2 linked regions of the Saccharomyces cerevisiae S288C genome follow. Changing the gene in region 1 together with any one later gene gives a genetic interaction. Each region holds a gene or a part of one and is shown on either strand. Other genes may lie near its edges.

What was found. Genes that interact genetically often act in the same process or in processes that back each other up.
Region 2: mutations in HSU1 (region 1) and NTH2 together harm fitness more than expected from each alone (negative genetic interaction), as found in Saccharomyces cerevisiae (one large-scale study listed by BioGRID).

Annotation. Positions count from the first base shown.
Region 1 is NC_001144.5:20,512-26,646, forward strand, and holds HSU1 (cystathionine gamma-synthase), read left to right. Parts: upstream 1-3,057; coding exon 3,058-4,785; downstream 4,786-6,135. Other genes in the region: glutathione transferase GTT2, read right to left, coding at 627-1,328; JLP1 (sulfonate dioxygenase), read right to left, coding at 5,245-6,135. UniProt on the Saccharomyces cerevisiae protein: Plays a role in inorganic sulfur assimilation during sulfur-limited conditions; catalyzes the conversion of O-acetyl-L-homoserine (OAH) into homocysteine in the methionine biosynthesis pathway.
Region 2 is NC_001134.8:236,768-243,665, reverse strand, and holds NTH2 (alpha,alpha-trehalase NTH2), read left to right. Parts: upstream 1-2,382; coding exon 2,383-4,725; downstream 4,726-6,898. Other genes in the region: COQ1 (trans-hexaprenyltranstransferase), read right to left, coding at 1-857; RER2 (ditrans,polycis-polyprenyl diphosphate synthase), read left to right, coding at 1,098-1,958; ECM15 (Ecm15p), read left to right, coding at 6,199-6,513; HTB2 (histone H2B), read right to left, coding at 6,779-6,898.

The DNA.
Region 1 (6,135 bases):
TCTACATACGGCTGCCATTGGTAGGACCGCAATCACAGTGTAATTTTGAAGAACTTACATTGGGCCAATGGATGAGCTGTGACCATAATTTATTAGTTGTTTGTGTCACAAGCTCAGACTTAGAAGTTCTCTATTGCAAACATTATTTCATGTTTCCTTAAATTTTTTTTATTGCACCAACTTTAGTGACCCCTTGTGAGCTCCAACATATTTGAAATCTTCTTAAATTTCTAGTCGGCAAGCAGCAAAGAATTTCAGTAGTAATCTCTACCGCGGCAATATCGATGCAAATGTAACTACCTGTAAGGATATTGTCTTCAGTGGTTTGGTATGGTTTTGTACCTTACTCAACATCACGAATAAAAAGGAAGGAATACGAATCATGATATTGATGTTTAATCTTTCACCGTCAAACAATTAACATATATAGTATATATATTCTTTTATAGAATACTGCTTGAGCTATTTTTTTACTTGACAGAATGGCGCCGCGAAGAACCCCTAAATTTTGTAGCCCTAATTTCGATCAGTTATATATAGCTATGGCACCCTCTTGAATAGCTTCATGATTGGATCTTTTTATATAGTTTCCACGTACCACGCAAAACTTGTCTCAAGTAGCCACTTTACGAGGATTTTGAACGGATTTCTAGCAGTTTCTTCACGCTGGGGCGCTGTTGCATTCTCTTATACCAAGCTCGAAGCGCCTCGCACTCTTCCGGCACTTGTAGTTTTACAATTGCAGCAAATATTAGACCAGCTATTACTGTGATGTCAGCCATTGAGAATGAATCACCAGCAACATATGGGCGTTCTCTGAGAACGGTATCAAAATAATGCATTCCATGTAGGGCTTTGTCGCGCTGGCGAAGTCCCCACTCTTTGTTTTGGTAAAGCTCGACTTCAGGCCCCAATCCAGGTGTAGCATGGTGAAAATAAACACTAACAGGGTCGAGCAGTTCCAACTCTGCGCGTTTGTTCATCATGTGGATTACGCCTTTTTCCAGCGGTGTTTTGCCGGTAAGAGTGGGTGTACCATCAAGTGCATCAATGTATTCAGTAATGGCTGTGCATTCAGCGATTAAAGTCCCGTCATCAAGTTCAAGCACTGGCACTGTGCCTGAATAGTTCTTGGCAAGAAATTCAGGCTTCTTGTGCTCTCCCTTCCAGAGGTTGATCCTCACAAATTGCACACTTGATAGCATGTTCTTCTCAGCCAAGGCAATGCGGACTCGGGCCGGATAAGGCCCTGCGGGTGTGTCATATATTATCATTTTTTGTTTCATCTTTTCACCTCCATTGTAAATCAGGAAACCTCTGCCATTCATGTATCCTTTGTAGGTACTTTATATAGAGCACCAAGTTTCTATCCTTTAGCAGGAAGCACATTATTAATCATTTGAGACGTAAACGAATGAATTAGTAAGCAGTGAAAGAAATTCGAGCACTAAGCGCGACCTAAGGGAACGGACACGGAACGGAGAAACTGAAGTATCAAATACTTCCATTTGATCAAACCACTTGTATCCACTCCCTGTTTTGCACACGGTAGTAGAAGGTCTTTTGAATATTTACTGTAAATACCGATTTCTATGTCCTTCTTGTCCGATTATAGGATTCGGGTCATTTCCAGCGCCTACTTTCCTTCTTGATTTCAAAATGTGTGGTTAACGTACTCCCAATTGCACTACTGTTCCTACAGTTCACGCGCACCTCTTTCTGATGAAAATGCAGCTGCATTAATCTGCGATCTATTGGCATCTCGCTCTTGTATCTGCCCTCCATTCGTGAAATTTTACTCTATTACCATCTTTGATCATTTTTTTGTCGCAAATGTGATACGGCATCCATCGAATTTTGCTCGTAATTGTTTGCCATTATCGCCCTTTTCATTCCGTATTATTCATCCACTCCGCTTCATAATGGGTTCCAAAAAAAGAACTATTGTACGAGCTTTTAGACTCACGAAAACATTACTTGAACAATAATTAGCGCCTGCAGAACTTGACATAATAAAATTCCATTTTCGATATCTAGCTGTCTGAAGATATGATATCTAAGTAATACGGGAAAGTTTCCGCTATTATTCTCTGTTGCAAGCTCACGTGAAAATGTGGATTCGCGAGTGGGGTGTAAGTGAGGATTGCCAAGCCTTTTGTTCGAAAACTTCTGCAGGAAGCGTTGTGTTGCAAGGATGATGCAGCATGAAATATGTGTTTTCTTTTTTTCGAGGTTCACTCCTACAGGTGATTCCTTCGAGAAATTCTGCAACCCATTGTGATATGATGCCTGGCCGAAAGATTTCTTCATTTCTTCGGAGCAGGTTCGGCCCGAAATCCTCATGATCGAGCCGAATGCCAAGAAGTAAAACACCAGGATGACTAACCAGTTATTATCATGTGTATACAGTACTTTGGTACCTTTATCAAGAAGTATACTAAAATATACCAACACCACACACATGCACATGGTAGCTGAGCGAACAGTTTCGAGATTTCAGCATTAATTTCATCTAATAAGACTTTCCGTCTGCTTTCAAGATCAACGTGCTGAACATTTTTACTCTGCTTTCATAATACTCCCATTTTAGGCTTTGATTCAAAAGCCCACTCAATGCAATACCTAAAATGATATCCTTCAAAGATATGTTTAATGAATATGCAGCCACAGCTTTGAATTCAGATTGACCTTGTGTTGCATTAAGTCAGACACCTCTAGATTTGTGTGGCTGCTCTCAAGAAAGGATGTTGAAGAAGATTTATTTACGGAAGAAATAACTGTATACGGCATTTTATTCTTTCTTAAACGAGCAAATTAAAGAATAGACGGATAGAGACTGGAGCTTTAGCATGTGTTCCGAGAAGTCCTTGACACGCGCCACGGTTGTTATGCCGCACACTACAATGATGTGTTTGAAAAAGTATATTAATGCCTATTGTCAAGATGCAATTCATCAATTCCAGCATTGAGTGATTCTTCTCTGGTGCGGTAAAACATAAATTTTAAATCTAGTACTCAACCACCACTGAACAACTATTAATCATCGTGGAAATTATTATGACGGAAATTGAATTTGGGCAACCCCTTCCCAGCAATCTAGACTATGCTGTTTCTTTTGGCATTCCTACATGGGATTCGGCAATAGGCTATGCGGAAAAGGTGCCAGAGGTAATAGGCAAAATGGCTACAGGATATCCGAGGTACTTTCCTCAACCCCCCGTCCAGAGGCTTTGTGCTTACTTTGTTAAGAAATTTGGGCGAGGTTCAGAAAACTGTCGTCCTTTTCCATCCGTTAACCTGGGTTTAAAGTGTTTCGAGTACGTAAAATCTGTCTCAGGACCTGAAAGTAAAGCTCACCTTGAAGTGGAAACAGTTACGATTAAAAACCGTGGGGCAAAAACGTCGAAAGAACCGGCGGAATTGGTGCTAACCATTGCTGCTGTCCTTGCATCGGAGGAAGAGTTCGAGACTGTGAAAGAGTATTGGAAATTAAGAGGTGAATGTGTATCTAGTCGATTGGCGTTGTCTGTCAACCAACTTCTTGACTGCGCTAATCATGGCTCAGAGCAGGTATTGCGTGAGCTAGAGGCTGGTGTTTTTGCAGCAAAGAAGGGGGAGGAGAAAGCAAAGAACCTGATAAAGGGAAGGATAGTTGAGAATCGCTTCAGGCCCTTTGGTTTGGAGAAGAAAACCCCGAATTGGGAGGGACTCAACCTCAACCCAAATGAAGACGTTTATCTTGTATCAAGTGGCATGTCTGCAATATCTACGGCTCGTAATTTACTCACCTTTTGGGAGGAGAAGAAGAATTCAGGAGATTCATTAAACAAGACCACCTCTGACCAAAAGAAAAAGCCATTATTATGTGACACTGTTGGCATCTTCGGCTTCCCTTTCAAAGATACGCAGGTCATTATGACTAAATTTGGAAAATGTAAATTTTTTGGATTTGGAAATTCTAGAGACGTTGTCGAATTACAAAAGTTTTTAGAAACAAGCAAACAACGCATTCTTGCCGTTTTCGTCGAGACACCTTCAAATCCTCTGCTGAATATGCCGGATTTGAAAAAATTGAGGAGTTTGGCCGACCAGTATGGCTTTTTTATTGTAATTGATGATACTATTGGGGGCCTTAACGTTGACATCTTGCCCTATGCTGATATAGTCAGCACGTCCCTGACTAAGCTTTTCAATGGTGCTAGTAATGTAATGGGCGGCTCTGTCGTTTTAAATCCGAAATCATCTCTGTATCCATATGCTCGTGAGTACTTCAGGAGCGCTAATTTCGAGGATTTGTTATGGTGTGAAGATGCGATAGTTTTAGAACGTAATTCCAGGGATTTTGAAGATAGAACTTTACGTGCTAATGCAAACACAGGAATATTGTTGAATGATTTGCTTTTACCCGAGGAGGGGAAAATATGCAAAAAGATTTATTATCCAACTGTTACTTCTAAGGAGACCTTTGAGAACTACGAAAGTGTACGTAATGAACGTGGTGGCTATGGATGCTTGTTCTCTGTAGCCTTTTTCAATGAGGGCGATGCAAAAGCATTCTATGACTCTTTAAAGGTATTCAAGGGACCTTCTAATGGTACTAACTTTACCTTAGCATGTCCATATGTCCATCTGGCGCACCACTCAGAATTAGAAGAAGTTTCCAAGTTTGGGGCCGACCCCAACATTATTAGAGTAAGCGTAGGTTTAGAAGATATCCAGTGGTTATTGAAAGTTTTTTCAAGTGCTTTAGATGTTGTGAAAAGCAGAGGCTCCAAACACTCATGAAGCAGATCATGAGTAGAATATCAAAAATCAAGAATTCTTTATAATCTTTATAGAATATTGTTTATAAAAGTTTTTTTCCATTCTAGCATATAATTTTTTTGGAGGAAGTCTTTTCTGGAACCTTCACATGGATCTTAATTAATGAAAGTAGACAGAGCTCATAAGATCACTAGTTGTTTATAAACTGAAGATGTTCCTTCTTATTGACTTCAACATTATATCGCTCTGAATTAGTTGATCTGTAACTTCAGAGTTTCTTTACCAGAATAAAAGCGTCACAGTTTTTCTTTAGTTTATATGTACACAGGTTGGGGTTTACTATAAACTATAAAAAAGAAGTGTTGTCGCCGCTATTTTAAGGTTTATACACAATTTTAACCAAAAAAAAGAATAAGTTGAGCAACGTTGGAACTGCCTCTGCAACGAATTCCGGCTATATACAACCTGCATCTTTGAAATTCAAATATCCAAAGTTAATGAAGAAGGATAATAATTTTCATCATTCAAAAACTTTAGATCTTCCACGGGCCTTTCCGCTTGTGGAGTAATCCTGAACGCATGTCTGTGAATTGGTTCTTCCCAATCAATCACTGCTGAATGTTGAACTCTGCGGTTATCCCAAATGACGACGGAATGAGGTTCCCATTTGGCTCTTAACTGTAAATCATGGCTGCTCTCCACTAGATTGTACAAGAAATTCAAAAGTGATTCAGATTCTTGTCTTTTCAATTCGACTATTTTCCTAGAAAATGCACGATTGACATACAAGCATTTCTTTTTCAAGACAGGATGAACTCTGACCAGTGGATGAATATGCGTGACAGGTGCTCTTCTTTTTATGCCGCCCTGGCGCTGTGAATTCTCTGCCTGTTCCTTTGAGCTATGGATGACATGAAGCGTGCTCAAGAAATCTTGCAAAGGCTTCGACAACCTGTCGAAAGCCTCGATCGTATCCGCAAATAACGTATCTCCACCACCATCAGGACCTTCAACAACACTAAAGAAAGTATAAGAAGGTGGCTGTAACTCGTAAGAGACGTCTGTGTGCCAGCCACCAGATGATGTCGAGTCATCAAAAACTCTTGCAAATTCTTCCGCATCAGGTCTTCGGAAAGTGATATGCAGCTCAGGATTGTTTTGAGGGTGGCCACTAGTTTGATGAATGTGCAACTTGCCAAAATGTCTTCCGTATTCAGTCACATAATCGGGTCCCTCGTCAGCAAAATTCTGATTTCTAAAGACAACTACTCCCTTTTGGGCGACAAGCAAAGCGAGTTCATCTTTTGCAGCATCAGAAAGATCAGTTAGCTGGATCCCATTGATCTCGAGACCTAATTTCGGGGTGATCTT
Region 2 (6,898 bases), on another chromosome or scaffold:
TCAAGCTTTTTAGAAGGAACCGGAAGTAGCTTATGGCCATTTTCGATGGTATCGATATCCGCGTCAATGGAAGTATTTTTCAGTTGCATGAACTCACCTTCGACAAGATTCGCAATACTATTAGACATTAGTTCTACGACTTCGGGGTTGTGTAATCTTGAAATTGACACTGTTGCTCTCCCTAAGAGAAAATCACCCGCCAAAACGGCCATCTTGTTGGTAAAGGCAGCATTTCCGCTTGGCCTTCCTCTTCTTGTATCAGAATGATCAATAACGTCATCATGAAGTAAAGACGCAGTGTGTATCATCTCTACAATCTCTGCTAATCTTCTCTGTTTGGGTAAAATCCCTCTTTGTTTGTCAAAAGTTTCTTCTGGCAAAGGCTCAGGACCTTTTGTCAAGGGATTTAGTGGTTTAATACCGTGAAGAATATGTAGTGGGGATATGCTACTTGCAGGACGTTGAAATAGTTGATTTTGACTAGGTTTAGAGTAAATTGGGTCCTCAGGAACATCCGACTTGTCAATTTTCAAGTGATTTCTTTCTGTCATGGGAATTTCAGAAAGTGCTCTTGACAACAACAACACTAACAAGGGACGTACTTTTTTGCCTTCTGTTTCAAAATAGTAACTAGTAACCTTGTTTAGCACCGGATGGCCAGACCCGATGAGGGCAACTATATTTTTGGCCAATGTGTTCATCTCCTTCGAGACTAATGATATGGGATTATTCCAAAGAATCTTGGGAGTTACCAACTTACTGGCAGCGTTTAAAGCAACTGCAAAGGAGGATTTAAAGCGGCATCTTCGAGATGAAATCAATTTGATGTGATGAGCAGCGCCAGACCTTTGAAACATCGTCCCACTGTACTCAATTCGGACTGAATGGCACACTTCTTGTGTTGTAGAAAATCTCTATAGATTATAATGTGTCTTACTTTAATCTTCTAATCCCCTAACCCTGTTACCCTCGCTCGGGCTTTTTCCGAAGATGCCAACAAAATGCTTAGAATGAAAAAAAAAAAAATTTTCGTAATAATGACAGGTTTCAATAGAACTTAAGCAGTAAAAATAGGGTAAACACAGGTAAAAGACGGTATGGAAACGGATAGTGGTATACCTGGTCATTCATTTGTGTTAAAGTGGACAAAAAACATCTTTTCGCGCACATTGCGTGCATCTAACTGTGTACCTAGACATGTTGGGTTCATCATGGATGGGAACAGGAGATTCGCTAGAAAGAAAGAGATGGACGTAAAGGAGGGCCACGAGGCAGGATTTGTTAGTATGAGTAGAATCTTAGAACTGTGTTATGAAGCAGGAGTCGATACGGCTACCGTGTTTGCCTTTTCAATTGAAAATTTCAAGAGGAGCTCACGGGAAGTTGAATCACTGATGACTTTAGCGCGCGAAAGGATACGACAAATCACAGAACGTGGAGAGCTGGCCTGTAAGTATGGGGTACGCATTAAAATTATCGGCGATCTCTCTTTGTTGGATAAGTCTCTATTAGAAGATGTTCGGGTTGCTGTGGAAACTACAAAGAACAACAAAAGGGCCACGTTAAATATCTGCTTTCCATATACAGGCAGGGAAGAAATCTTGCATGCCATGAAAGAAACAATTGTTCAACATAAGAAGGGCGCCGCTATAGACGAAAGCACGTTAGAATCGCATCTCTACACGGCGGGGGTACCCCCTTTAGATTTATTGATTAGGACAAGTGGCGTTTCCAGATTAAGTGACTTTTTGATATGGCAGGCATCGAGTAAGGGCGTACGCATCGAATTGCTGGATTGTTTATGGCCAGAGTTTGGACCTATACGGATGGCATGGATTTTATTAAAATTTTCGTTTCACAAATCCTTTTTAAACAAAGAGTACAGATTAGAGGAAGGTGATTATGACGAGGAAACCAATGGGGACCCCATCGATTTGAAAGAAAAAAAGTTGAATTAAGAAAGGTCTGCATTTTTTTCCTACCACATGGCATAGATATTTATAGAGTAATGAGCAAGATAAATGAGTTCGCAAAAGAACATTCAAATAATTAGTAATAAATGAGTAGAAATTCACGCATCTTTATAGAGTTTATAATGCAAATCTCCGCGCGGGGTAATTTGAAGTCCAATTTTTCCGAGCGGCGTGCCAGTTCCACTAAATTATATAAAGCGGATAGGAATTGTAATTACCTCCCAAAGTTAATATTCGACTAATGTATATTTCATATGTTATAGCGCTTGTAGGAACTGTTTTCCATTAAAACTAATATTCTTTATTTCTCAATTTTATTTATTTATTTATATTTTTCCTTTGCAAATATATTTGACGCAGGTTCGGATCAGACATTTGGTATATAAGGAGACCTGCATATACTCAAATAATGGTAGATTTTTTACCAAAAGTAACGGAAATAAATCCTCCATCCGAAGGTAATGATGGTGAAGATAACATAAAGCCACTTTCAAGTGGTTCAGAGCAGCGGCCGTTGAAAGAAGAGGGGCAACAAGGTGGTAGAAGACATCACCGGCGGTTGTCCTCTATGCATGAGTATTTTGACCCGTTTTCCAACGCAGAGGTCTATTATGGACCAATAACAGATCCAAGAAAACAGTCAAAAATTCATAGACTAAATAGAACCAGAACTATGAGTGTTTTCAATAAAGTTTCTGACTTCAAAAACGGAATGAAGGATTATACCCTGAAAAGGAGGGGTTCTGAAGACGACAGCTTCCTCAGCAGCCAAGGTAACCGTAGATTTTATATTGATAATGTGGATCTCGCTTTAGATGAGCTGCTCGCTAGTGAGGACACAGACAAGAATCACCAAATTACCATAGAAGACACTGGGCCCAAAGTTATTAAAGTCGGGACGGCCAATTCCAACGGTTTCAAACATGTAAATGTTAGGGGAACATATATGCTTTCTAACTTGTTGCAGGAACTAACCATTGCAAAAAGTTTCGGACGACACCAAATATTTTTGGATGAGGCGCGTATAAATGAAAACCCTGTTGATAGATTATCAAGATTGATAACGACTCAATTTTGGACGAGTTTAACGAGAAGAGTTGATCTTTATAATATTGCAGAAATTGCTAGAGACTCAAAAATAGATACGCCAGGCGCTAAAAATCCAAGAATTTATGTTCCATATAACTGCCCAGAGCAGTACGAATTTTACATTCAGGCATCTCAAATGAACCCGTCCTTAAAACTTGAAGTGGAGTACTTACCAAAAGATATTACAGCAGAGTATGTTAAATCATTAAATGATACACCGGGTTTGTTAGCCCTGGCTATGGAAGAACACGTTAATCCATCTACTGGTGAAAGGTCCCTAGTTGGTTATCCTTATGCGGTACCTGGCGGTAGATTCAATGAATTGTATGGCTGGGATTCATATTTAATGGCACTGGGACTCATAGAAAGTAATAAGGTTGATGTTGCAAGAGGTATGGTGGAGCATTTTATATTCGAAATTGATCACTATAGTAAAATTTTGAATGCTAATAGGAGTTATTATCTTTGCAGATCTCAGCCACCATTCCTAACCGATATGGCTCTGCTCGTATTTGAAAAGATAGGAGGTAAGAATAATCCAAACGCTATTCAGTTGTTAAAACGCGCGTTCAGAGCTGCTATTAAAGAATATAAAGAGGTGTGGATGTCGAGCCCTAGGTTAGATTCTCTGACAGGGCTGTCTTGTTATCATTCTGATGGTATTGGTATCCCTCCGGAAACTGAACCAGATCATTTTGATACTATATTATTACCGTATGCTGAAAAGTACAATGTTACTCTGGAAAAGCTTAGGTACCTTTATAACGAAGGCATGATTAAAGAACCCAAACTGGATGCATTTTTTTTACATGATCGTGCCGTGAGAGAGTCAGGACATGACACGACTTATAGGTTTGAAGGTGTATGTGCATATTTAGCGACAATTGATCTAAACTCCTTGCTCTATAAATATGAGAAAGATATTGCTTTCGTCATTAAGGAGTATTTTGGTAATGAATATAAAGATGAGAATGATGGAACGGTAACCGATTCTGAACACTGGGAGGAGCTAGCTGAACTGAGGAAAACAAGGATTAATAAGTATATGTGGGACGAAGATTCAGGGTTTTTCTTCTATTATAACACGAAACTGAAATGCAGAACGTCTTATGAGTCTGCAACGACTTTTTGGAGTTTGTGGGCTGGTCTTGCAACTGAAGAGCAAGCAAAAATCACAGTAGAAAAAGCTCTTCCTCAGTTAGAAATGCTCGGCGGACTAGTTGCATGCACAGAAAAATCAAGAGGTCCTATTTCTATTGATAGACCGATCAGGCAATGGGATTATCCTTTTGGTTGGGCGCCGCACCAAATATTAGCCTGGAAAGGTTTATCTGCATATGGTTATCAACAAGTAGCTACAAGATTGGCTTATAGGTGGCTGTACATGATTACAAAATCATTTGTTGATTATAACGGAATGGTGGTAGAAAAATATGATGTGACAAGAGGGACTGATCCGCATCGCGTTGATGCGGAATATGGTAATCAAGGTGCTGATTTTAAGGGCGTCGCTACAGAAGGCTTTGGTTGGGTGAACACAAGTTATTTGCTCGGATTGAAATATATGAATAATCATGCAAGAAGGGCTCTCGCTGCTTGTAGTCCACCATTGCCATTTTTCAATAGTTTGAAACCCTCTGAGAAAAAATTGTATTACCTATAATATTGACGAACATATGTAAATAAGATATATGTTATATTCTTCTTTCTATCAATAACCATGAGATTGTGCCTCAGTAATATTTGAGACGATTTAGAGTAAGGTCAAATATTATTATTAATCAAGTTGTGTAAAGGCTCATTTGTGAAGGTTAGAATAGTAATCGATGATTTTCAAGTAAAAGTGTTTGAAGGGCATTTCAGTAACATCTTCAAACTAGGAGTTTGTTGAGACAAAAAAGTCTGATTTTCATAAGATCATAACTTACGCTTTGAAGATCGTTATGAGTACCTTGTAGCTTGCCAGATCTTCTTGCTTATTCTTAAGCTCTTGGGTAGTACTGTATAAGACTGCTTGACATCGGGAACACTATCATTACCGTGTGATAGAATTCTCGTACCAAGCCGGTTCACCTTTGCGTGGTCTAGTGCATAGGAAGAATGACTAATAGAAAGCTTTCATTTCTATTAGTGTCTTAAATGCGAAGAAGGTATGGGAATCTATTACATACATGAAGAATATAGGATCTGTATATCGTCGTCACCGACGTAAGGTTTTTTTGTCAATTCTCGGTGAACAATTTTTTGCAAGAAATATATTGATACTTCTTGTTGAAATATTTTTCTTTTTCGGAAAACAAAAACATAAAATAATTATTTAAGAAAAAAAATTAATTAATAAATTTAAATAGAAAATCTTTTTTACTTAATAATAATTAAATAAATAAGTCACATGATTTATGTAGGATCAATTTGCTCAAGATTAATTTATTATTATTGATATTAGTAGGTGCCAGTTGAATAGCTATATTTTCAGTCTGTTTGAACGTTCTTTTTTTCATTTTCTGCTGAAAGCAAGTACTCCTACTTTTATTACTTTACATGTTATCGGAGGCCTGCACAGACACTTGTATCCTATACTATCAAGGTAAATATGATTGATTGATCCTCTTGGGAAATGGGATTTTAAGTTTTGTTAGCATTCTGGTTTGCCAACCTGTTGGTAAAGCACTATTTTTCAAGCTTTTGCAACGAGATTTGTCTCTTTGATTTTTTATTTATGATTTCTAACTTTTTACTTTTAGTTAAACTATTAAAGAATAATTTTCGCAAGGTACATAGCGATTTAAGTAGTTCAGAAAAGAAATTATTTAAAAATTACTCGCTCTCTTATTTGAAATGAAGATGGTTTTCAGACAAACTCCTACACAAGCTTGTTACTGGCTTTCAGTCCGAAAACAGCTCCAAACCCTTTAATAAAACCTTTCGTTTCTTTTACTTTTTATTCGAATTATATAGCTCTTTGACATTCCTTTTTTAGTATGATTCAAGCTCCCCTCTTTTCCACCCCGTGAAAAACAGAATATCATTAACCGGGATTCACTGACATCGTCAAAAGGAGAGATCAAGATATTCAGTTTTTGTCATTGCCGTCGTGATCATTAACTATAAAGCACATAAACTACAAGTTTAGAAAATGCCCAAGATCTTTTGTTTAGCGGACGTGTGTATGGTCCCTATTGGCACCGACTCTGCTAGTATTTCTGATTTTGTTGCACTCATTGAAAAAAAAATCAGAGAAAGCCCATTAAAGAGCACTTTACACAGTGCAGGAACAACAATTGAAGGGCCTTGGGATGATGTGATGGGTTTGATTGGCGAAATCCATGAATACGGTCATGAGAAAGGATATGTTAGAGTACACACTGATATTCGTGTTGGGACTAGAACTGATAAGCACCAAACTGCTCAAGATAAGATCGATGTTGTTTTAAAAAAAATTTCTCAATGAATGCTCGTGTAGTGAACCTAAATAGGGTATATCTTTAAGGAGAGTTTAAGAAACAATTTAATAATAACTGTTTGCAAAATATCTTTCCCAATTTTTTTTGTTTATAAAGTTATATATATACATTTATACAACTCCCTTCGGAGGCTGATAGACTAGACCCTTCCAATCATATCTGGACAAGTAACAGAACCCTAATGTTACAATATATAAAAAATGCCACTAATAAAAAGAAAACATGACTAAATCACAATACCTAGTGAGTGACTTAGGCTTGAGTAGAGGAGGAGTATTTGGTAACAGCCCTAGTACCTTCGGAGACGGCATGTTTAGCCAATTCACCAGGTAAGATCAATCTAACGGCTGTTTGGATTTCTCTAGCAGAAAT